3 linked regions of the Arabidopsis thaliana genome follow. The protein of the gene in region 1 interacts with the protein of each later gene in a pairwise test. Each region holds a gene or a part of one and is shown on either strand. Other genes may lie near its edges. The genes, in order: AUR2, RAP2.12 and MYB73.

Region 1 (9,784 bases):
AGGTAACCTAACTGCAGATCTCATCGGAGAACTCCACGAACAACCACCTCCGTTCAATTGCATTTTCCTCATCGACGCAATAAGTTCACCGGTACTCGGAGAAAGCGGCGGAGATTCCGACGGTGGTGAAAACGAAGGAGAAACAAGAATCGAAGTCGGAGAAGTAGCTAATCCTGAGAAGAATCCAAGATCTGGATCTAACGAACAAGGTAATACACGTAACTGCTCCGTCGTATGAGCGAAGAAACAGATTCTTCTCCGGCAGCTAGTTCCGTCTTTACACGGCTGAGTACGGTAACGAGAAGGATGGAGCCAACACTCGAAAACTCCATGAGAGAACTCACACGAATCACCTCTTCTACAACTTCCTTTACGAAACTCAGGACAAGCGGTGCCGGAGTAATGAAACTTTCTCGGATCACGTCGTCGAGCTTTTTCTCCGGGATGTGCGAACGGACACTCCGTCCAATCATGAGATCGACCTCGAGCGCATCGCCGGATTTTGAACTCGTAGATGCGAAACTCGTCGGAGGAGAATGAGTCGGTGAGTGGTGATGACTCGTCGCCACTTGATGAGTCTGAATCGTTTGTTAACTCGTTTGACGGGAGGTAACGGAAGAGAGAAGCGAAGGAGTCGAGATACGGTGACGGAGAGTGTGGGTAGTCGTTAACGCTGTTAAGGTTGACGGAAGAGAATGGTGAAGAGATTGTGGCCGTTGGATCGTTGATTTGATCCCATTGAGGGATATGGATCGTTGGATGTGGCCGGTTTTTATTTTCGCCGATCATCATTTTTGTTTAGTGAGTCTAGAAGAGAGAGAGGTGTGTGTCTGTGATATAAACTGCTTTATTTTAACCATGGTTGGGTCAAATATTAACTACGGTAAAGTTATGAAAATCTTGACCCTATCCACAATACCGTACGGTAAACAATTAATAAGCGCAAATCTGCAGATGATGACACGTGTAAGAAAAAATCTCCAATTTTTGTTCGTCTTTTGTTTTTTTCCCCTTCATGTTCGTCTTTTTTTTTTTTTTTTTTTCTTCATATTTGTCCCCCCAAAAAAAAAAAAAATGTTTTCAAAGCTTTAAAAATATTTAAAAATTTTCAAATTTATTTTTTAATCAATCACACTTTTAAAACTTTATTAATTTTTAAAGTTTTAAAAGCTTTTTTCTCTCCATTTACTTTTTTTCTTTTGTTTTTTTCCTAAAGTCTTTAACTTTAAAAGAGAATAATAAAACAAAATAAAAATATTTTTTCTTTATCCATAAAATTTCAAAACTCTTTTCAAATTTATTTATATTTTATCATTAAAAAATCGATTGATTAATTCGAATTTTATTTTTTCTGTTCTTTTCAGATCCAATTTAAATATTTAAAATAGTGAATTTGTAAAATGAATTTTGTATTTTTTTAAAATAAATTTATTTTAGTTACTATTTTACCAAATAAATTGATTTTTTAGCATAAATAATATTTATAAAAAATATTAAATAATAATAAAAATAATTGTGATTTTTTTGTACCAATCAGACTTTAACAGTTAAAGTTTCTATCGTCAAAATTTTTACAACCAAAATTTTTACAGTCAAAGTCGTAACATCCGAAATATTTAGAGTTCAAAAGTAACAGCCGTTACCAATCAGCCCCAACATCTACTTTATTACGCTTTCCGTTTTAAATTAATTGTCAGAACATTAAAAAAATAATTAGAATAAATATCAATTTACATTTTTAAAAGCTAATTTTGACTACAAACAAAATTAAAGTTTTATTTGCAGTGATTTATGTTTTAACCAATAAGAAATTTTGTAAAGTAAAAAATAAAACAAATTATTAATATGTGTGTCAAAACCTAAAACAACATTTTTGGAGTATCACTAACCAAAAGTTATATAGTCACATAAAACATAGGGATACATTAATTGAAGAAATTAAGATACACATTAAAAATTGAAAAAAAAAAAATTTCTATCATAACTCAAAGTTTATCACCAAAAATTGTGTTAATTATTCCGTAGCTGTTATTTGTTTATAAAGATTTAGATCATTTTGACCAGACTGTAACTATTAGATCATTTTGAAGAATCGTAGAATCATACTATTTTATTTGCAATTATATGAATTAGTCCACACTAATATTAAGGGTCTAGCGATATGAAACATAAGACATTACAGTAAGAAAATATTTGGACGGTACAGTATATATTACTTGTCACGTGACTTTCAAGGTCGTAGACTACTCCCCATGACCTGACAAGAGTGAATAAATTTGGTTATTGTCCCCCATTTTTTCTAGATCATGGAAGGATGCAACGTACGTAGCTTTTATGAAATAAATTTCGAACATTAATTTTAACTTTTGGCTCTCCAGCTGATGGGAGTAAATTGACATGCTCCAAAGAAAGAAACACAAGTCACCTAGTGATTTTCAAGAAAATGTGCTTCCTTCAAAATATCCGAGGTCTAAGATGAAATAGTTTTAAAAATTGTTATGCGGGGCATATATTATTAGAGTGTTGTGCACTTGTAACCTTCCAGAAAATAAGCAATTTGGACGATATTTTAAGGTTTGGTCCATGTTCCAGTATCGTGTTAGGGTCCACTGCTTCGAGATCTACTTGATTGATACTCTTCCATTTGTTTTCTAATTGTTTGATGCAAAGGTTATCCATTAAGGGAAACTTATCTATATCACGTGGAATACTCACTGCAAAAGATTCGCAATATTAGACTTATAATTGTCACTAATCAGACCATTAAACAAATATCAAATTGATTAATATGTTGAATTTAATAATCCAATTTGACCTCTTTCAGATAGGGCTTTGGGGACAAATCTTCTTAAATCGCACCAAACTTTTATTATAAGATAATTTTTGGTTCGTGGCTATTAAATTAAGCCTGAAAATTTAAACATATGTTTCACTTACAAGCGTCAAGTATGGATAAACAATGATTAATCATAAGCTATCATAATGACAAAAAGAAGTATGATCGTTATCAGTTCTCTTATGCATAAACTATTGATAAAATTATAATAGTCACGAGATGATTGATCGAGCACGATAACTATTATAATAGTCACGAGAGAATGATGTGAAAGTTTAAGAATGCGTCTAAACCAACAATAAAATAATTTAAATAGTTATAATTGAATACACATTCTATATTAGTAAACATTCAAATTATTTAAAATATCTACGAGACACAATAGCCTCCCAACAACCATTCGTACATTCACTTTCTCATTAGAAAGAAAACGTATCCTAATTTGTTGTTTTCTCTATGAATGTTAATATCATCTAATAAGTCCATATAGACTATATCTAATAAATCCATATAGACTATTGTCTCTGAATATCAATGGATTTGAATCTTTGGCCAAAAAATTAAACAAAGAGACAAATGATGTAGAAGTCACATTACATAGTGGGAGTTAAAATTAACCAGAGTTTGCATTAGGTTGCAATAACGCTTGCATTTACGTCTTGCGGTGCTTACGTTCTGAATCTCTTTGTCGATGAGCTTGAAGATAGTTGATATTGGGATCGAGACTTGGTTGTGAACCACATCATTCCTTTGCTTCCACATATATCCTAACATTTATCTAAACAATCTGGTGCTAGAAGAAAGAGATTATCAAACTGATGCAATGACAAACTACGAAACACCACTCCATAACAAAAAAACTTAACCGTATATCGATCCTCAACTTTAGGAATAATCCTAACGCCGCACCCACCCGGCACCTGGCACCCACCACTTGAAAAATTCATAGCTCATGGCCAGTAGGGAACCGCGGAGGAAACTTACTCAGTCCATTGCGAGGATAAGGACAAAAGTACTCCTTCAATTATTCTAGAAAACCAATCAGACGTTGACAAAGAACCTCGTTTGAAAGTACAACTGCTCTACAAGACTGCATTGCCCACTACAAGCAGTGAATGTTGTCCACCCTCAGCTTCTTTATACGTTCGTGAAGCATGCATGTGCATTTTGTTGGTGCGCGCATAGTAAGCCATGCCATGCAATTCAATGCCAATGGTTTACGAACATATAGACAAGTAAAGTTTTCAATTATTTCATGAGTACCTAAAAACCACATTCATAGAACAGTTTGCAAGTATTCGAAATTTGGGAAAACATGCATACGACCTCACCGCATCTCTCAAAGGCCGAATACAATTTTTGAGGAATGATTAAACAAAGAAATATTTTTACAATCACACTAACTACAATACGTTCATGAAGACAACGTAAATGACACGAGCCATTTAGCGCAGCCTTCGAAATTTATTTAGCGAGTATAGATAAAGTGGTTCAAGCCTTGGTATTGATACACAAAATTCACAAACCTTGCAATTTTCTTTTTGAACATAAAAACAACAATATTATTTCAAATCAAACGGACCACACTCAAAACTACATTTACATATACCAAGAAAGCCACCATATAATTCTAGAAGCCAGACGGTGACCAAGTAATTGGCATTTATTAATTTACTTAATTCGTTATCATCTTTCCTTACACTAGCTATTTCACAATCATAAAACAGAAAATACCGATCAGCAATTAAACACACAAAAAATTGTATGGAAAATAGAAAATAAAATTTTAGATAGATCTTTTCAAAAAGGTAAGAACAGTATTAAAAAAACATACGTAGGATAATCATAAAACTTAATACAACATATAGATCCATATAATTATTAAACTCTAATGAGTAGTTGTTGTGGTTTGGTGTGTTTGTTGTGGCTGCGAGTGCGTATAATGTCCCAACTCTTTGGCTTTCTCCGCTATCCTCATCCTCGCGTAATCCACCTTATCCGCTCCCATCGGGTGTTTTCCGGTAACGTACTTATAAATCCACGTTAACGCCGTAGCTGCTGCCACCCCACAACCACCGGAGAATAGGAATCCCATCGTCAAAAGCCCTATCGTTATCACTGCCGGTACCAACACCGGGCTGAACAGAACCATCAACGGCGTCGCTACGATCAAACCGATCACCGTTCCGGTTAGTGTTAGTCCTGAGAGCACGAGGAGTGATAGGCCGATCGTAGCTGCCGTTACGAATCTCACTATCTGCCGAGTCGATGGTGATGATTCATGGAGACTCCTCATTATTGGTTGTTGTTGTTGCTGATGTTGTTGATGATCCGCCATTTCTTTTTTTCTTTTTCTAAGAGAGTATGGATTTAATGTTCTATGTTGTTTTTGTAGCTTTAATAAGCTTACCATTTGTGATTATTATGAAGAATGAAAATAGACTAGTATGAAGGAGAGGCTAAACTTAAACGAGACATGTGTCGAACGACGAGGCGTGTTAGGCAATGGAGAAGAGTGTCACGCGGGCGTGTCAGTTCTGCATGGAGCTACTTTGACGAGGTACTGACACGTGGTTACTTAGTTCCGAATTAAAATCTCATCGTCAAACGATCTTGAAGCTTATTGGGCTATTATCTGGGCTTGTAGTGACTGTATATTATCCTAGTGATTATGAAGTTGGAATACCGTGGGCTTAATAATATCTGGGCCTGTAGCGACTGTATCATCTCGGGAGACAAATTATTTGAAAATAAAAACCTCGATGCAGATGTATCAACACGTGGCAGCATCTGGATTCGACCGTTGCTGCTTTGCTGGTGGTTTACGTTTTTTCCCCTTTTTAAATTTCTCAATTTGGATCTGTTCCCTTTGTGAAAATTACTCTCTCTTCTCTCTTTCTTTCTTCTCTTTCTCTCGCTATCTTGGCTCATCAACGATCTCTTCCATGGGGATTTCTACAGAGACGCAGCAAATTGTAAGAAAATAACTTGTTCTTGGTTTCACAAATTCCAATTTCATTTGGTTCTTTTGTCGAATTTGTTTCAATTTAGGGTTTTACTTCCTTGTTGGTTTGCGTTTTTTCTCTGCGTTTGGTCTGTTCTAATGGAATGTGATCTGGGATTATCGATTTGGTTGCTTGATTTTCTTTGCGCCAGAAAGAATCTTGTTTCAATGTTCTCTGTTTAATTTGAGAAAGACTTGTTGGTATGATTTTGAGAAATTTCATGATATGATTGTGGATTTATTCGTTTACAGCGAGGACCCTAGATTAATTGACAAATCCGTGGATTAGTGTTAAGGAGCTGTTGATTTTATCCTTTTATCTTCAAGTTTTAAAGTATCAATGATTGTTTGTCGTTTATGATTAAGTGTATCTGAGAGTTGATTGGATTTCAATCTTTGTGATAATGTTGTATCAGGCGGCTTCAGAGGCTGCACAAAAGAGATGGACTACAAGCGATTTCGATATCGGAAAGCCACTTGGTAGAGGAAAGTTTGGCCATGTTTATCTAGCAAGAGAGAAACGGGTTAGTGTTTCTTCACAATTATGTTAAACAAGCAGAATTAATTTGATGTCTTTTTTAACCAAGCTGTCTTCTATGTGTCTTTGCAAACAGAGCGATCACATTGTGGCTTTAAAGGTTCTTTTTAAGGCTCAGCTTCAACAATCTCAAGTTGAACACCAGTTACGAAGGGAAGTAGAGATTCAATCTCATCTTCGGCATCCCAATATTCTGCGGCTCTACGGTTACTTCTATGATCAGGTTTTGTGTTATCTGTGCTTGTAAAAGAACTTCTTGTTGACATACAATGTTTGGCTCTGTGAGGTTAACATAGTTTTTGGGATACCGTTGTTGCAGAAAAGAGTTTATTTGATTTTGGAGTATGCTGTAAGGGGTGAGCTTTATAAAGAGCTTCAGAAGTGCAAGTACTTCAGCGAACGTCGAGCAGCAACTGTAAGTCCTAGTGATAATTGAACTTATTCTAGCATGTTAATGTGAATCTGTGTAGTCATACCCTTACGTTTATTGTGGCAGTATGTTGCGTCATTGGCTAGAGCCCTCATCTATTGCCATGGAAAGCATGTAATTCACAGAGATATAAAACCTGAAAATCTGTTGATTGGTGCTCAGGTAACAAATTGAATCTGGTTATCTTTCTCCATCAACGCCATGTGATTGCAGTTAGCTTATGTGTTTATGTATTCATGGATATATGTTTTCAGGGTGAGCTCAAGATTGCAGATTTTGGATGGTCAGTACACACATTCAACCGTAGAAGGACTATGTGTGGCACTTTGGATTACCTTCCACCTGAGATGGGTAAGAGAAAGCTCTCTCTCTCTTGTGTGATTCTAAATTACTTTCTTCGGCAACCAGCTAATTGACTTTTCTGCTTTTGGATTCACAGTGGAAAGCGTTGAACATGATGCGAGTGTCGATATATGGAGTCTAGGAATTCTCTGCTACGAATTTCTTTATGGTGTTCCTCCTTTTGAGGCCAGGGAGCATTCAGAGACATACAAAAGGTAACATGTTCATTAAGCGTAGAATGGGATTAGTATATGATGTTTGGTCAGTGGAATGTACATTAAAGAAGGGTTTTGTTCGACAAATGATACAGGATTGTTCAAGTGGATCTCAAGTTCCCTCCCAAACCCATTGTGTCATCATCTGCAAAGGACCTGATTAGCCAGGTTTCTACTCGCATTCCTCGTAAATCTCTCTAAGTGTTTGTGCATTTGAAGAGTGAATTCTGATTTTCACACTTTCTGATCAAACAGATGTTGGTTAAGGAGTCTACGCAACGTTTGGCCTTGCACAAGCTTCTTGAACACCCGTGGATTGTGCAAAACGCAGACCCATCAGGCCTTTACAGAGGATGAAGCGATGAAGCTAGGAAAAGATTTAAGATTGCATTCTTGGCACTTTGCACCACTTACTGCAAAAAGTCTGACCATTTCATAGTTCTATATATGTAATTGCTGTGTTCCAAAAGTATTTGTACTACATTTTTCTACGAAGTTTATATAGCCACAAGATTCGTGTAACTTTACTCCAATTATTTTCGAATCCTACATCACTTTTTAAATAAAAATTGTTCGGAATGGTTTCAAACTTACAACAGCTTTTGTTCATCGGTAACTTATTCACCAATTGATTGGTTAACGTTAACTGATGTTACTGCAGGTAACCAAATGAGATGGATTTGTTCACAAGAGATCCGGAACATTTTTTATGTTGTAAGATGCAAAGGTGCAAAGGCAAACGAATGAAAGATTAACCGAACATGAACAAAACAACAAGAGACGCACTCTGCAATCAATCATTTTCCTTCAAAAGGTGGGTGAATGAGACAAGAATGACCAATGTTTGTCTTTTATCTGTAAGACAAAGAAGAAGAATAATGCCTACTTAACCTCAAAAATTTAATTTGGTGTATCTTGTACTTAAATATGGTGGTGGAGTCTCAGAATGCGTAGCGGTAGATGGCATCAGCAACACCATCTTGGTCGTTGCTCACACCAATCACATCAGCCACCGCCTTTGTTTTTTCTGCACCGTTGCTCAGAGCAACTCCCAACGAGGCCAGTTGCAGCATCTCTATGTCATTTTCTCCATCTCCAATCGCCATTATCTGATAAGAAAATCCGGGTTGCTTCATCAACTATCTTATTTTTTGTTTGACTTCTATACTTATGCCTACTTGAGTTTCTTTACAACGCCGTCAAAAGATGCTAGATTATTACCTCATCCGGTGAAACGCCCAAATGATTGAGTAGCATTTTTACACCATTCCCTTTGGAGGTTCCGGGTGGGACGATTTCTAGCATGTCTGATTGAGCTTGAACAACATTAGCACGGTCTCCTGTAGCTTCTGACCAATACGGACGGATAACAGATGAGACTCCCTCGGTTGTGTCCATAAATATCACTTTCTTCGGATACACAAGAGAACCAAACATCAGTACTTTGGCTTATACATATGTAAGAAAGTAAGATATAAGTTCTGACTCCGGGAATTACCTGAATGTCAGCTTCAGCTATCAGTTGATCAACCGATGATATAATTTCGGCCTGTTAAAAATCATGGAGAGATTAGCAAGAAGCTGTCAAAAATCATAACTAGATGGGGAGAGAGCGTGCAGTTTCATTAACCTACCTTTGGCTCATTGTAGATTGTGTGAAGAGAGTCGACAAGAGGGTGGTCAAACAATGTCAAGCAGCGATCCTGGCTGAATGCAATGAGAGGAATTCGATGCTCCAAAGAATAAAGACAGGTCTGTATATAACAAATCAACATTTTAGTAAGTATAAGATAGGATTCCTAGAACTCAGTTATTCAATCACGATACACAGGGATAATAAGTTGAGCACTATCATAGGTACTTAGGTAGCTTTTTGCTGCTTAACATGGTAGAGAATTACATGATGCAAAGAGACTGGGTTCCAGAATTCTAATGCATGGTTTGTGAACTAAGCCGAGGATGTGAGAATTAATTCTGTGAGTCGTTGTAGTCTAAATCCTAAGTGGACTTACCTCTCTGCAGACATCTCGGTCTAAGTTTCCTCGATACACTTCTTTCCCTTGTCTACCATAGACAAGTAATCCCTGTAATTAAACAGATATTTAGTGAGACTACATTGATATTGGTGCACCTCACTAGTTCCCTGATGTTAGAGCAAGTAAACCTGAACGAAAACGCCTGGAGAGGACTCTGAGATAATGCCATCGGATCCAGTTAGATCAGCCGTCTTCAAGATTCTGATCGCACCTGGGCGGGACTGTGATAAATAAATAAATTTAGGAACATATCCTATCTCCAAAACATTTCAAAGACAAGCAAATATTAAAAAATAAGGAAAGATATTGTTGGACAGATCAAAGAATAGTCCAAACATGAAGTCATTGTAAAACTGCTGTCTTCTCACCTTCCCCGTAGCTAT
Region 2 (8,148 bases), on another chromosome or scaffold:
GGTAAATTCTTAGTATTATTTTAATGCTTGGTCTAAGTAACTACTCCCTCTGTTTCATAATATAAGTTGTTTTGGAACAATTTTTTTGTTTTACTATATAAGTTGTTTTCAAGTTTCTATACAAATTATATATTATTTTAATATTTTATGATTATTTATGTTATGTAGTCTCTTTTGTGATTAGTAGAATTTTTTAAAAGTAAATATTTTTAATTTGCGTGTTTTTATTTAAAACAATTTATATTGTAAAACAGATGGAATATTATTATAGGCTATAGGCCTATAGCTAATGTTTGGATCTAACTGCTAACGTTGTAAGATTCATAAAACACCGGCCACTTACAATCCCACGTTTTTTTTAAAAATATTACGTTCTTTCCTGGAATTACCCATATACACGTTTTTTTTGTTATCTTCGTGCTCAACTGTTTACAAAAGTATACTGTATTCGGGAAGGTGAAAAAAGATAAAATTATTTCGGAACATCTAATATACTAACACAATAAATGAAATTAAAAATATATTTGTAAAGACATTAAAGATGGCAAATATATCTGTCCACACCACATTTTAATTCTTTTTTATATCATTAGTCTATAACATTTGATTAAGTTTCACGTTTTAGAAAAGTGATTATGTATAAACTAAAAATATAAATAGATTACTTTACAACAAACTTTTTTTTAGCATTTTACATTTGTTCATTTAACAACAACTATAACATATTGAATTCGAGTTTTTTTTTCCTTTTCCCAATCATTCCATTGAATGTATGAGTTTAGGTCTTAGGGTTATTTTCTGATGAATAGCAAAAGTAGTAATTCCCGACAAGAAATTGGCCAATGTCGAAAAAGTCAAATTCCACATTTTAATTGAGACATAAAAGACACATCACTCAATACAGTAAAATATCTACTTTTATATATTCCCAAAAACCATTCGGCTTCTGCTTCCACTTCATCTCTCTCTCTCTCTCCCTTCTCACATTTCTCTCCACTCAGATTTCCAATTCCTAAAGATAGAGAGAATGACTAAAATCTCTGTTGGATTGCAACTTGTGACAAGAGATTCGAGGGAAAAACTAAACAATATAGTGATCAAATCTTCACTGAGACTAAACCGATCCAATCCAAACATCTCGGAGCTTTGTTTCCTTAAAACATGTCATCTCTGCAATAAACAACTCCATCAAGACAAAGATGTTTACATGTACAGGTACGATATTTTTTTTTTTTTATTACTATATTATATACTCTTTGTAAACGAAAGATGTTCTGTTCTTGATTCTCAATTTTTTTTTTTTGTTGAAAACAGAGGAGATTTGGGATTTTGTAGTAGAGAGTGCAGAGAAAGTCAGATGTTGATTGATGATAGAAAAGAACTAGAGGCTTCGACGAAGATGATGTTGGCTTCGTACAGACGATGTAATAACGGCGCCGGAAAAAGCGAGTCTCGGAATTTGTTTGATGATCTCCGGCGACGACGTCAATTATTTATAGTTCCTTGAGGCTTCTTTAAGCAATATCTAATTATAGTTTTTTTGGTTACACATCTTATGAAAGTTATTAGTAAAAGAAAGAGAATTAAATTGTATCTCCGGTTGTCATTTTTCAAAATCTTAAATGTTAATTGGACAGTTTATGTGGTGATCTCATTCTCAGGTGGTTTAATTACTGATTTAGTAAAAATGCTCATTAATTAGTTAGGTTAATTGTAGCTGTTGACCAAAAATAAAGATTACTTGTAGTCACACGTTAATTAGTGAGATAATTAAATGATACAAAGTGTCATATGAGATATGACTCATATTTCATAACTAAATCTGATTAATTCGAAGAACATTTTAATATTCAGATTGGATCGTGACATGATGGATATGAACTGGATAAAGAATTATTTTAAAGAAGAAAATCTCTCTGATAAATAAATTATTCGATTTGCTTCTTTTTTTTTTATGTATGGGAGATATTTTAAATGTATGTGACAGGGACATAGACACTCTTTGGTTGAGAAGATATGAACAACTCATTTAGTCACGTGTTGAATATGTACAGGCCAAAATACTGTATTTTAAACAATTGGAATTATTGTTTTACTTGTCAAGTGATCACTTTGTTCAACCCAATTCCCCAACTAATTTATTGTTTTATAGTGTCACACTGTCACGAGTAACTAAGCAGGTTCGTGGTCTCGGCCCAATTAAAAGGCCAATCAATTAAACTAAATGCAAGTGCCTATAACTCGACCTATGAAGCCCACTATCTTAGCGATTCGGCCCAAAAAGACAACTTGCCTTGTGTAAAATGATTTCACTTTGTATCCATCCAATGATTCCAATTAATGAGAAGTTATGTTCAGATTTAAGAATTCCAGTTAGTGAACAAAAAATCAACTACTGGAATTTGTTTTGCTTCTTATAAATTTGGTTAGAAAAACAAAACATAAGGTTTATATCTATAAACACAAAGAAATTGTACTAATGTACAGTTCCGAAACGAGTATAGTCAATTATTAAAAGTTAAAATAGTGAAACAAATAATTGCTCCATGAATGACATATTGACATCATTATCTGTTTCTTTGAGATAAGCTAATTTAGGAACTTGTCTCAATCCTGTAAAATGATTTGGACCCTACCTATTTTATTCATCTGTCTTTCTTTGCGTTCACAATTTGATCTTAATATATAAATATATAGTACATGATTGCACTAATATATATATATATATATATATATATATATATTATATGTAGTATAACTATACACGTATGAAGTTGAATTTTATAAAATAAAATTTTCTTTTAACTGAATTTCCAATAGTTGTTTATACATAATTTAGAAAGTTGCAACCATAAAATATATTTCACCATAAAACAACAAAATATGGTTTCCACGTACACATACACATAACACATACCTACTGAATATTCCGTAATTTACGATGCCTGATAATTTGGACCTAATAAAGTTAGTTAAGAGTAAACAGAATTACAAGGAAATTTTAAATTGAGTTTAAGAAAACTAGTAATTGATTTGGAATGCTAGTTATCAAACAAAAGGACAAATATATTTTTCGGATTATTTTTAATAACTTTTTTGTTTGTCACGAAACGACAAAAGCTTTGTCATAAAAACCAAATCCTATCAACTTGCTCAAAAAGCTTCAATAATATCGTACGTGTCCTGCACACGCAGATTCATAAATGTGTTTCTATGCTTTTACAATTTTAGCCTTATGCATAACAGCATAAGGTCTTAATGGTCCTCTCTCCTAATCAAAATTACATTCAAAAGTTGTTGTATAGTTTTTCATTATATTTTCAATAATTCATTTATTTTGTGCCTATGTTAAAACATTTTCATAATTCATTTATAATATTATTTAAATTTAAATGTTAAATATCTGTTCTGCGTTGGCTACTCCTGAATGCAAACAACATTGCAAAAGTATTTAGTTGTGTTTTTAATGCCTAATCACATTAATAGATACTAGATCTAAGGGAAATAGACTTTATGAAAAAATCAATTGACGTTAGGTAAAAATTTGTTTAGACTATTTTTGTCTACCAGCAGACAACTCTGACTAAATTTTTAATCTTATTTACTGCAACTAACTATTAATAAACTAATAAAATCCTAATTTACAATATAGATCTACAGTAAATGAATATAAAAGTCTGGTAGTACCGTAAATAGTACATCAAGATAAGGGTATAATAGTAAACAACCATCGTACTCGCTTCATCTTTTATTTTACTCTAAAATCTCTTTCTGAAGAAAACAACAAAGCAAAGCGTTGAAGAGAGAAGAAGAAGCAAAGATATAACCCCCAAAAGTATCAATTAGTTTCCATTTTCGCCGCTAAGATTCTGTTTTCGAACATTTACACCCTCAAGAATCGCCGCCATGTGTGGAGGAGCTATAATATCCGATTTCATTCCACCGCCGAGGTCTCGCCGTGTTACTAGCGAGTTTATTTGGCCGGATCTGAAGAAGAATTTGAAAGGATCGAAGAAAAGCTCGAAGAATCGTTCGAATTTCTTCGATTTTGACGCTGAGTTCGAAGCTGATTTCCAAGGTTTCAAAGATGATTCGTCTATCGATTGCGATGATGATTTCGACGTCGGTGATGTTTTCGCCGATGTGAAACCATTCGTTTTCACTTCGACTCCAAAACCCGCCGTCTCCGCCGCTGCGGAAGGTAAATATTTAGGGATTGACTTTAGTTTGAGCGATTGAATTGGTTAGAAATTAAGTTTCGATTCTATTTAGCTCTGTTCATAGATACCTTTATCTGCTTACGATTTTGATTGTTGTATAAAGCATGAGGTTTGATTTGTGTGATATTTATATGCATATGAGGTTGAGTGATGAGACTTGATTTGTGTGATGAGATTTGATTAGAGATTGTTGATGAGTTATTTATAGAAGAACTCTTTTGTTTTGTTGTTGTTTCACTACTAGGTTCAGTTTTTGGTAAGAAAGTTACTGGCTTGGATGGGGACGCTGAGAAATCTGCAAATAGGAAGAGGAAGAATCAGTACCGAGGGATTAGGCAACGTCCTTGGGGAAAATGGGCTGCTGAGATACGTGATCCAAGGGAAGGTGCTAGAATCTGGCTTGGAACGTTCAAGACAGCTGAGGAAGCTGCTAGAGCTTACGATGCTGCAGCGCGGAGAATCCGTGGATCTAAAGCTAAGGTGAATTTCCCTGAAGAAAACATGAAGGCTAATTCTCAGAAACGCTCTGTGAAGGCTAATCTTCAGAAACCAGTGGCTAAACCTAACCCTAACCCAAGTCCAGCTTTGGTTCAGAACTCGAACATCTCCTTTGAAAATATGTGTTTCATGGAGGAGAAACACCAAGTGAGCAACAACAACAACAACCAGTTTGGGATGACAAACTCCGTTGATGCTGGATGTAATGGGTATCAGTATTTCAGCTCTGACCAGGGTAGTAATTCTTTCGATTGTTCGGAGTTTGGTTGGAGCGATCAAGCTCCGATAACTCCCGACATCTCTTCTGCGGTTATCAACAACAACAACTCAGCTCTGTTCTTTGAGGAAGCCAATCCAGCTAAGAAGCTCAAGTCTATGGATTTCGAGACACCTTACAACAACACTGAATGGGACGCTTCACTGGATTTCCTCAACGAAGATGCTGTAACGACTCAGGACAATGGTGCAAACCCTATGGACCTATGGAGTATTGATGAAATTCATTCCATGATTGGAGGAGTCTTCTGAAGAGATCCAGTTTCATGTAAATAAGGCTGCATGTTTGTGAGTTTCCCGCATCGTTCGTTTATCAACCTCCAAAACTTTCTAATGTCTGTTACTTGCATCTTCTTCTGCTGTCTCTGTCTGTCTCTCTCAGGAGTTCCTGTTTGCATTGCGAGAAGCCATGAGCCTCTATCTTGAGGGTAGTTGTGATGAAGTTAAGTAGAGGCTTATTTTTAGGGGTTGTGGTAGTTTTTGTTTTAGTGAATCTTTTGAATTCGTTTGTGTTTTGTTTTTGTTACTTTATGCCCCAAAACTCCTTTAACATTTGTCATAATGTGTTTGAACCTCTCATCTGTTTAATCAAATAAATCTTCTTTGTATGCTACTAAGAGTATGTGAGAACTGTTGAACATAACAAAGAAGTCACAAGCTAAGTTTGAACCAAACCGGTTCTCGTAAATTTGTGATCAGAAAAAAAGCGGTGATCAACTGATCATCAAAGTGATTGCCTAGAGAAGTGCGCCACTTTTGTTATTTTGTGGTACAATGAATCTAGAGGGAACAAACGTTGAAACGACGACGTTAAACGACAGAAGAATCTCTAAAGGTTGAACTCTCTTTTTGCAAGTGGTAACTGGTGAGTTTGTGTCTTTCTCGTGACCGTTTCCTTATGATAACAGAAAATAAAAGAGAGTAAATTAACTCTTCTGGACAGTTCTGCTTCTTTAGGTCATTTTCACTCTGTATAAATATCTAAGCATTAGCACACATTCTTTATTTTTTACTGAAACATATTTATATGTATTTGGTAATTTAATCTACTGATTTTTCATATAAATTGTTGTTAGTTACCGTATTACTGTCAAAATGTAGCCCAAAATGTAAGTGTCAAGGTGCTTTGAGTTGTGTGATGACAAGTTTGACATAACATTTGGTTTCTCCTATTATTGTGAAGAAATGAAATTATCTTATGGTGATACTTGCATTAATATTACTAATCAAACCATTTGACTTCTTTTCAAAAGTCTTTGTATATAAGTGTGGACACACATTTTATATCATAAATAAATACATAGTCTTGTCGACATGTCTATAAGTTAGATTTAAAAAGCAAATGATTTGGTCTATATAACACACACATCACGAGTCTTTAGAATTTTGTGGTGAATGAGAGAGTCAACTTTAATGGAGAAAGTCACAAGGAGAACTATCTCCTCCTTCATCTTCTTTATCGTCTCTTCTACCATTCTTTTTCTCGCCGGAAAATCCTCGGCCAAAATTTCTCATAACGGTGACAATAATGTGACGGCCTTGTTCCTCTTTGGAGACTCTTTCTTGGATGCAGGAAACAATAATTACATTAACACCACTACACTTGACCAAGCCAATTTTCCACCTTATGGTCAAACATTCTTTGGCCTCCCCACCGGAAGATTCTCCGACGGTCGTCTCATCTCTGATTTCATTGGTGAGAAGATTATATTTCTTATTATTCATATATTAGCTCGTGGTCTTATTTAAAGATATAATATTGACGGAAATGTACGTTAATGATAGCGGAATATGCGAATTTGCCGTTAATTCCGCCGTTTTTGGAACCGGGAAATAGTCAAAAGAAGCTTTACGGCGTCAACTTTGCGTCTGCTGGTGCTGGTGCTCTTGTGGAAACGTTCCAAGGTTCGGTACGTTTTTTTTATCTTTTACTTTATTTTATTTTAATTTCTGTGGGATTTTTTTAGTAATAGTTTTGCATTATAATGTATCTTAAAATAGATATATCATTTGATTGAGTTTCGTAACTTTCGTTTGCTTAATTGATCCATGAGTTTGATTGAATGTAGTTAACTTTTCTATACCTAAATTGTTGATTAAATGATTGCATATGGAAGTGGGTTTTGAGTTTTGACCCGATTATTGTGGCTAAATTAATTGAACAATCTTCTTTAAAATGTAGTTTTTTGGTCCCACCTACGATTTGTTGTATCCTTTTACATGCTTTATTTATTTATAAAGATAGTAGAATTCCTTTTCAATTTTATTAAATTGCAAAATATGTAGTACCCACTTACTTATTTAGGACAATTAGATTTTTAAATTTAAGGTTAGGTCAGATATATTATTCTATGTTGTTCAACGTGGTAACCAATTCCTAATAATTGTAAGGTTATAAATTTGAGAACACAATTGGATCACTACAAGAAAGTGGAGAGATTATGGAGGACAAACTTTGGTAAAGAAGAAAGCAAGAAGAGAATCTCAAGAGCTGTCTATTTGATAAGCATTGGGAGCAATGACTACTCAAGCATTTTCTTGACCAATCAATCTCTTCCCATTTCAATGTCTCAACATGTTGACATTGTCATTGGTAATCTGACTACATTCATTCATGTAAGTTCATCATCATCATAATATAAACCTTATTTTTGTTACATTCATTTATCCATTATAAGATTTTGTAACAGGAAATATACAAGATTGGAGGACGTAAATTCGGGTTCTTGAATGTGCCTGACTTGGGTTGTTTTCCGGCTTTACGAATTCTACAACCGAAGAATGATGATTCTTGCTTAAGAGATGCTTCAAGATTAGCAAGCATGCATAACAGAGCTCTGACAAATCTCTTGTTTCAAATGCAAAGACAAGTCAAGGGATTCAAATTCTCCCTATTTGACATGAACAAAAGCCTTAGACTCAGAATGCAACATCCTTCTAAATTTGGTAAGTGAGCTCTTTGTGAATTTTGTTGGGCTATTCCACTTATGATATTCATTTAAGGGGCCATTAAAGTATATGTTCATAACCCAATACCATTTTTGTGATAAATAAAAGGGTTTAAAGAAGGGGAAGAAGCTTGTTGTGGAACTGGGAAGTGGAGAGGAGTATTCAGCTGTGGAGGGAAGAGAATTGTGAAAGAATATCAATTGTG
Region 3 (7,529 bases), on another chromosome or scaffold:
ATAGTATTTGGGAATCACACATACACACGCATATTTATCTAATAGTACGTTTTCGTTATAGATAACCATTGAATATGAATAATTTGCTTCCTGTTAATATTTAGATCGAATTGTTATTATAATTTGATAATACTCTATACTTTGTACGCACTCCTCTTAACTCTTTCAAGCTATATCATTTCCAATACTCTTTACAAATTGCCGTGCTACGATTCTATAGTATTCTTTAAGATTAAATTAGCTCACGAAATACTTAACTCTTTCGGTGGAGCCAAACCCACAAACTAAAACCATCAGTTTCTTACCACTATATATGCCAATGACCTCTTTTTTGAAAATGCAGTTAATTTTTAACATCTATCAGCGTTAACCTTTTTTTTATAACTTACTATTCACAATACATATAAAATCGACAAGAATTGCTTTCAGTTATCAACTACAACCCTCACAAAAGTCGGTTATTATAATCCAGAAAATGAATTGGGTTGGTTGGACGAGATTAAAACTTAACTCCATTCCCATTAGTAACGATTAAAATTAGTAGTTTTTCAACGAATTGATTAGTAGAATTAAACAACAAAAACCAATAAAAATTAGAGAATAAATTAGGTAATAGGTACGATGTACCTAAAACGGAAGATCTCTTACCGTATCTCCATTAATTACACAGTTTTGTCCATCTGCCTCCCTTCGTTCACTCTATGAAATTATATCGGCTAATATACAATTTGGTTTAACACTAAGATAAAAAACAAAATCTGACCGAATCTTATCCTTTTATTTTTCCCTTTTCTCAGGGATACTTAATAATACTTTTCAATGCTCAAAGCATATAAACTAATTAGTTTAAGTCGAGTGACAAAGAGTAGGAAGGTCGCAAGAAACTTCCCTTAGCATCGGAGCATGTGCCTCGTGCTCTGCAGTACACGGCTGGATTAGTTGTTTACCGGTGCCGTACACTTGACAGATCCCAGTTTTAATAGTTTTTAAAATCTACATTTTAGTAGAAATTTATATATATTCACTCACAGCGGTCGTAAAGTAACTGCTGCGTCCATATTTACATAAATCATTAGGCTCGAAATCATCATAACCTAATGGCCTAATTCATAAGTGGTTTACGCATAGATATGCATTCATGAACGAAGAAGCTTCTTTAGCTAAATGAATTCTATGGGAGTGTTTTAGTACTAGTATCTACGGTTTTTCTAACGTTGGTAGTTGATGATATATGTGTGAATGCATATCAAATTGACCACAACATAAAAAAATGAATTTATGGTTAAAAATGACTTCTGAACCGTTGGTTGGTTACATAATCCATTAATAGAAACAAAAATAAGGACAATGCATTTAATATATTATTCGAATACAATTCTTCGCTTACTTAAAAACATACATATAGTTGACTACGATTTATTCCACTCAGACAATACGACCCTCCAATATTTAAGTTTTATTTTCTCACATATTTTGAAAAACACCAAAATATATTTTTGTTCTCTTTAATTTCCTTCAAAAAGCTAAGTGTATAACTCAAAAAAATAAAAAAGTCAAAAGTCAAATTTGTGTTTTTTACAAATGATAAAAATTCTAAATTTCTTAACTAAACACTAAACCAAAGTATTTTTAGTTTTCCAAACACAAGTTATAAAGGAGTTAAGAATGGTAAATTACTAATTAGTGAAGAATATATAAAAAAGGGTGGGTGGGTGACCGGCAGGTGGGAGAGTGGCCGTTAAAGGGAGGCAGAGATTTACAGCCTGTTTTTGTTTTTTTTATAATATCAGAAAATTAAAGTGGTAACGATCAGCCTTCCGATCTATCCTTGTCGTTTTGCGCCACGTGAGCAACTGTCTCTTTTTGGCCTATCTTTTTCTTTTTGTTTTGCTTTTTTTCTTCTTTGCTTTTTAGAGTATTTCATTTTTGAGATCGGCAAAATATCCAAAACATAATAATGATAACAATTTTTCAAATAAATAAAAAAAATACTAATAATGGTATACAGGCTGGCTTCCTCAGTCAAAAAGTCACCGAATCGAACCAAAACCTCATACCTAACCGTTAACTTCATCCTTATCTTCTTCTTCTTGTTTTCCTTATTTCTTTTTGTTGGTGCTCTTTTTTCATTTTTCTATTATATCATACATTCTTTTACCATATTACTTCAATTATTGTTGGTTTACCTTCATAAGTTTAATATGTTTTAGTGCATACGATATCAACTGTTTTGCGCAAAGGGTTGAGTTTTTATATAAACTAAACGAAAACAAAATTTGGAGGGTACTGAAATTGTTCATTTTTCATTATCTTGGTGTAAATAATCTATGAATCTCATGTGTATATGCAAAGTCATATGAAGTGAACTTGGTTTAGATATTTGTTGTATTTTCAATTTTCATTTTTAATTATATCATACATTCTTTTACAATAATCTTCAATTATTGTTTACATCCCTAATTTTAATGCATAAGATATAAATTGTTTTGAGCATTAGGGTTTAGTTTTTTTATAAACTATATGAAAACAAAATTTGGAGGGTATTTAAGTTATTCATTTTCATTATTTTGTGTAATTAATCTATGAACTTCGTGTGTATATATGCAAAGTTGCATGAAGTGGAACTTGGTTTTAGATATTTATGAATATCTAGATATTTGTTGTATTTCAGTTTGTTAGGTTTTGTTCTCTCTTTCTGCCAATTACACACACTTTTGTTTTACAAAGAACATAAATAAAAGTTACATATATATCCTGAAAAGTTTGCTTCACTGTATATATATCATCATCCTACACGCGCTTCACCGGCGTTTACCCTTTCAATTTCTGGTTAACTAAGTTGAACCGGATTAGTAATTCTTCGGTTTAGTTGTTCTTCTATACGACAATTTATCACTTGACAAATATAAACGATCTATTACTTGCAACATTCATATTTAATCTAGTATCTTACACGTACATATTTGTTAGAAATTCAATGACCAAACATTGCAAAACTATTACATTCACTTGTTGCATGTAAGCTAGAAGCCTAGAACTCGCTGTCAACGACTACAATGTCTACATTATTTTCACCGACACAATTTACATCTTAACCAAAATTTGGATATTGGACCAATCGTTCGTTTATATAATAACCACACGTATCAATCAACACACAGAAGACAATGACATGTAACAAACAGTGTAAAATATTGAAAATAACTTATCAAAAAACTTTAGTTCATAACACAAAAACTTTCGGCTATTTTTTATTGACTTCTATGTAGTCTTTTTGTTGCACTTACTATTTTTAAAAGCAATATGTATGTTTCCAGCAGATTCTTAGTTTTTACAAAATTTTGCCTTTAATATTTTTTTTGATATACATTGCCATTCTTGATTTCATTTTCTTCTACAATAGTATCAAAATTTTACAAAATAAAACTTCAAAAAACATACGAAAAAGTTAACAAATATTCAAAAAGAGAATGATTTTAAAAAGGATATAAATATAGAGAGAATAAAACGTAGAAGTTAACGATTTTTTTTTGTGAGTGTCACTTTAGATGGAAAATGAAATGATTGGGTAAAAACGCTCCACCTGTAAAACAGAGAGTGGAAGAAACGCTCCTGTGTACGAGCGTACTCTCTCTTCAAAAGAAAACAAATCTCTCAAAAAAAAGAAAGAACAATTGAAAAAAAAAAAGCAAATCTCAAACTCAAAGTACATATACTTACTTGACACGTGTTAATATACAGCTGTATCCCAAGTCCCCAACCGTTTTTCCTGGAAGATTCTCTGCTCTCCACGCTCGATGTTAACCTCACACAAACGCTTATCTCCCAAAACGCCTTTTCCAATCGCCAACGTGTTTTATTTTTGGTTTAAAATAAATATCTGTTCCAATCATACAAACACGTAAATGTTGTCAATTTTTTTATACCCAAACGTTAACGAGGTTTGTACGTAGCCCATTTATGGACACATAATTATGAACATATAAACAATGGTTAATCATACGTTTAAATTAATTAAATTCACCAATATTTTTTTGACTGAATGAGTCAAAATTGTTTAACGAGTAACGACCATAATTATCAGTTTTTATTTTTTATTGTTTGAACTACCATAGTTATCCGTTTAACACTGAGCAAATCTCTTTATTAATAGAGAAAACGGTTTTATTTGTTTCCTTCTATAAAATTTGTTTTTAATAATACGTTAGATATTTTTATGCAGTTAAGGATAATATTACACTGTAAAGTTTAACTAGTTTAATATCGTTTCTGTTAAATCGATAAGAAAAAATTACCGGTTGAACCGGTGACCCTTTTGCCCACTCCTTTCTCGTATAAATACTCTCTCTTCTTGCTCTTATCCTCTTCAACCAAAAAGCTTTTCTTCCCAACACACACAAAAAAAAAAACTGTAACGACCAAAAAAAAAGAGGACGCGTTAGAAGAAAAAAAAAGAACAATCCGATAAAAAGATCCGGCGATGTCAAACCCGACCCGTAAGAATATGGAGAGGATTAAAGGTCCATGGAGTCCAGAAGAAGATGATCTGTTGCAGAGGCTTGTTCAGAAACATGGTCCGAGGAACTGGTCTTTGATTAGCAAATCAATCCCTGGACGTTCCGGCAAATCTTGTCGTCTCCGGTGGTGTAACCAGCTATCTCCGGAGGTAGAGCACCGTGCTTTTTCGCAGGAAGAAGACGAGACGATTATTCGAGCTCACGCTCGGTTTGGTAACAAGTGGGCTACGATCTCTCGTCTTCTCAATGGACGAACCGATAACGCTATCAAGAATCATTGGAACTCGACGCTGAAGCGAAAATGCAGCGTCGAAGGGCAAAGTTGTGATTTTGGTGGTAATGGAGGGTATGATGGTAATTTAGGAGAAGAGCAACCGTTGAAACGTACGGCGAGTGGTGGTGGTGGTGTCTCGACTGGCTTGTATATGAGTCCCGGAAGTCCATCGGGATCTGACGTCAGCGAGCAATCTAGTGGTGGTGCACACGTGTTTAAACCAACGGTTAGATCTGAGGTTACAGCGTCATCGTCTGGTGAAGATCCTCCAACTTATCTTAGTTTGTCTCTTCCTTGGACTGACGAGACGGTTCGAGTCAACGAGCCGGTTCAACTTAACCAGAATACGGTTATGGACGGTGGTTATACGGCGGAGCTGTTTCCGGTTAGAAAGGAAGAGCAAGTGGAAGTAGAAGAAGAAGAAGCGAAGGGGATATCTGGTGGATTCGGTGGTGAGTTCATGACGGTGGTTCAGGAGATGATAAGGACGGAGGTGAGGAGTTACATGGCGGATTTACAGCGAGGAAACGTCGGTGGTAGTAGTTCTGGCGGCGGAGGTGGCGGTTCGTGTATGCCACAAAGTGTAAACAGCCGTCGTGTTGGGTTTAGAGAGTTTATAGTGAACCAAATCGGAATTGGGAAGATGGAGTAGAGTGATAAGAACAAGTTTTCCCTCTGTTTCTCGGGAAAATAAAAGTTTCAGGCTTTTCATGTATAGAGCCAGTAGTAGAGACGACGAAAGGAGGAAGCGAAATCAAAAAATGTTTTGTTATCATCATCATATGATCTTCTTTCGTGATTCAATTAAAAGCAAAGCAAGATCATTTATTAACAATTTACACAAACTTGAAGAAGAAAAGTCAAAAACACTTCTCAAACTTTTATTCTATGGGTTTGTTACGAGGAAACAAACATAAACTAAAAGTAGTAAATATAATCTCACGTGACATAATATATGACCTGAAGAAACCAGTCGAAACGAAACATATATACGATTTTGATGTTTCATAAGCGATCATACAATTCACAGTGTCTTGCTTTTGCAGAATTAGACAAAGAACAGCAAGTTACCCCCTAATGTGCAGAGCTTAAACTGTTGCTGCTGCTACTGGTTGGTTCTTGTGAGCGTAACTTGTTGATTAGATGAACTATGTCTTGTTTCCACGACCATGATGGATCGTTTAGACCACGTACTGAGTTTAGACACACCAGAAGAGTCCCGCCTTCATGTAGAAGTACCTATGATCACAAAAATGCAGGTTAGCGGTTTTGTCTCTCGGGTAAATGATGGATAACAAAAGCTTGTAGTGGGTATTAGCTTACGTACCGTCAACCACAATGGGACAAACCCTAAAACTGAAGGAAGAGCGGCCAAGAATATCGATGTTAATGCAAGAGCTACGTTTTGCTTGACCTGCAACATGATACATTCTTGTTAAATCAGGCAATCTAACATCTGAAACTGGTTAAGAACAAAGACTTTTATGTTTTATCTACCAATGATGTTGTCTGGCGGGATTTAGCGACACAGAACGGAACACCGGTGATGTTGTCTCGAAGCAGTAAGATGTCAGCAACGGCAATCGCAGTGGCACTCGCTCGTTGAGCAAGAACAATCCCCACTGTTGCAGCTGCTAGAGCTGGAGCATCATTAATCCCTTCTCCTACCATAATTAAACCTCCACCTAGCAAAAATCACAACTCTAAATTCTCAGTCTCTTGATAGATGTTTTTGATTGGGAACTATGGCGAGAGTAATGAATGATCACCTGCTTCCCGAGCAATGTTCTTTACATGATTTAACTTATCCTCTGGCTTTAGGTTGCAGTAGACTTCGGTAATACCCACTGCGTTTGCAACTCTCCAAGCACTTGAATCATGGTCCCCAGTTAACATCATTACTCGGAGTCTGGCCCAGCTTTTAAGTTCTGCTATAACTCCTGACACCCCTGGACGAGGCTGATCTTCGAGGTGAATCAATGTTACCTGACAAAATTTAGTTGCAAGGCTCATAAATTTCAGTGTTACAGAGGTTTTTATGGACTAATAAATGGTCAGATGAGAGATGAAAATCACAGACTGTGAAGTAGGAAAGAGGTTTTTAGACCAGCTAAAGAAGTAGTCGTAGTATACCTTTTGATCAACAGAAAGAGCAGCATGAACGAAGTCCTTTCCGTACGAAGACGCGTTTACAGCATCCTTGATCTGTTTAGATTCATCTTCAGATTTGAAAAGTGAGGTAATGAACTCTATAGAACCAAGTGATGCTTTTCGTAATCTACTCTCTTCAGCTACTGTCTATTACAAAACCAAAAAATGTGGTGAGAGACAACATCATATATATTAAGAATGAAAGCCAGAGATGTACACACATCACCCACAGCTATACACTATAAAATCTGGTAGATAAATGGATATATATAAGAATCTAGTAAATAACTGAGTCTCACCTTAACACCGTTGACAGTAGCAGTAAGGCCTCTACCAGGAAAATATTCGAAGCTTTCAACAAAAATAGAAGGAAGATCCTTACCCACACTGTGATCTACAACAGCTCTGCAGCAAGATGAAATGTGTCAGAAACAGCAGAAAAGACCTATAGTACTCTTCAGTCTCAATCTCTTACCAGACCAAGCATCATTTAAACTAATAAACCAGTGTAAAAACCAGTGTAAAAACCAGAGATAGAGAGCTTCATAGCGTTCAAATTTGCTTTTTCCCCTTCCTTTCATCCGATT

Evidence for each region.
Region 2: the proteins of AUR2 (region 1) and RAP2.12 interact in binary tests that used the Arabidopsis thaliana proteins (3 or more experiments, as listed by UniProt).
Region 3: the proteins of AUR2 (region 1) and MYB73 interact in binary tests that used the Arabidopsis thaliana proteins (3 or more experiments, as listed by UniProt).

Annotation. Positions count from the first base shown.
Region 1 is NC_003071.7:11,032,825-11,042,608, reverse strand, and holds AUR2 (ataurora2), read left to right. Parts: upstream 1-4,417; 5' UTR 4,418-4,724; coding exon of another isoform or gene 4,725-5,249; 5' UTR 5,250-5,396; intron 5,397-5,483; 5' UTR 5,484-5,598; coding exon 5,599-5,811; intron 5,812-6,256; coding exon 6,257-6,364; intron 6,365-6,454; coding exon 6,455-6,601; intron 6,602-6,697; coding exon 6,698-6,793; intron 6,794-6,874; coding exon 6,875-6,970; intron 6,971-7,062; coding exon 7,063-7,159; intron 7,160-7,247; coding exon 7,248-7,365; intron 7,366-7,460; coding exon 7,461-7,533; intron 7,534-7,620; coding exon 7,621-7,722; 3' UTR 7,723-7,957; downstream 7,958-9,784. Other genes in the region: ATCTH (Zinc finger C-x8-C-x5-C-x3-H type family protein), read right to left, coding at 1-792; AT2G25890 (Oleosin family protein), read right to left, coding at 4,725-5,249; AT2G25870 (haloacid dehalogenase-like hydrolase family protein), read right to left, coding at 8,307-8,474, 8,587-8,775, 8,864-8,914, 9,000-9,119, 9,378-9,449, 9,530-9,622, 9,770-9,784. UniProt on the Arabidopsis thaliana protein: Phosphorylates specifically 'Ser-10' of histone H3 in vitro. Associates with cytoskeletal structures that are necessary for cytokinesis and with the microtubule spindle.
Region 2 is NC_003070.9:20,131,336-20,139,483, forward strand, and holds RAP2.12 (uncharacterized protein), read left to right. Parts: upstream 1-3,508; 5' UTR 3,509-3,906; coding exon 3,907-4,201; intron 4,202-4,464; coding exon 4,465-5,246; 3' UTR 5,247-5,678; downstream 5,679-8,148. Other genes in the region: AT1G53903 (linoleate 9S-lipoxygenase-4 protein, putative (DUF581)), read left to right, coding at 1,028-1,215, 1,315-1,507; GLIP5 (GDSL-motif lipase 5), read left to right, coding at 6,390-6,690, 6,780-6,904, 7,386-7,610, 7,685-7,940, 8,052-8,148. UniProt on the Arabidopsis thaliana protein: Transcription factor involved in the activation of hypoxic gene expression and in ethylene response. Partially redundant with RAP2-2. Acts as a downstream regulator in the ethylene signaling pathway.
Region 3 is NC_003075.7:17,536,122-17,543,650, forward strand, and holds MYB73 (myb domain protein 73), read left to right. Parts: upstream 1-4,368; 5' UTR 4,369-4,480; coding exon 4,481-5,443; 3' UTR 5,444-5,678; downstream 5,679-7,529. Other genes in the region: HMA1 (heavy metal atpase 1), read right to left, coding at 5,866-6,030, 6,119-6,205, 6,289-6,476, 6,561-6,777, 6,925-7,089, 7,242-7,347. UniProt on the Arabidopsis thaliana protein: Transcription factor that functions in salt stress response. Acts as a negative regulator of NHX7/SOS1 and CBL4/SOS3 induction in response to salt stress. In response to auxin, activates the transcription of the auxin-responsive gene IAA19.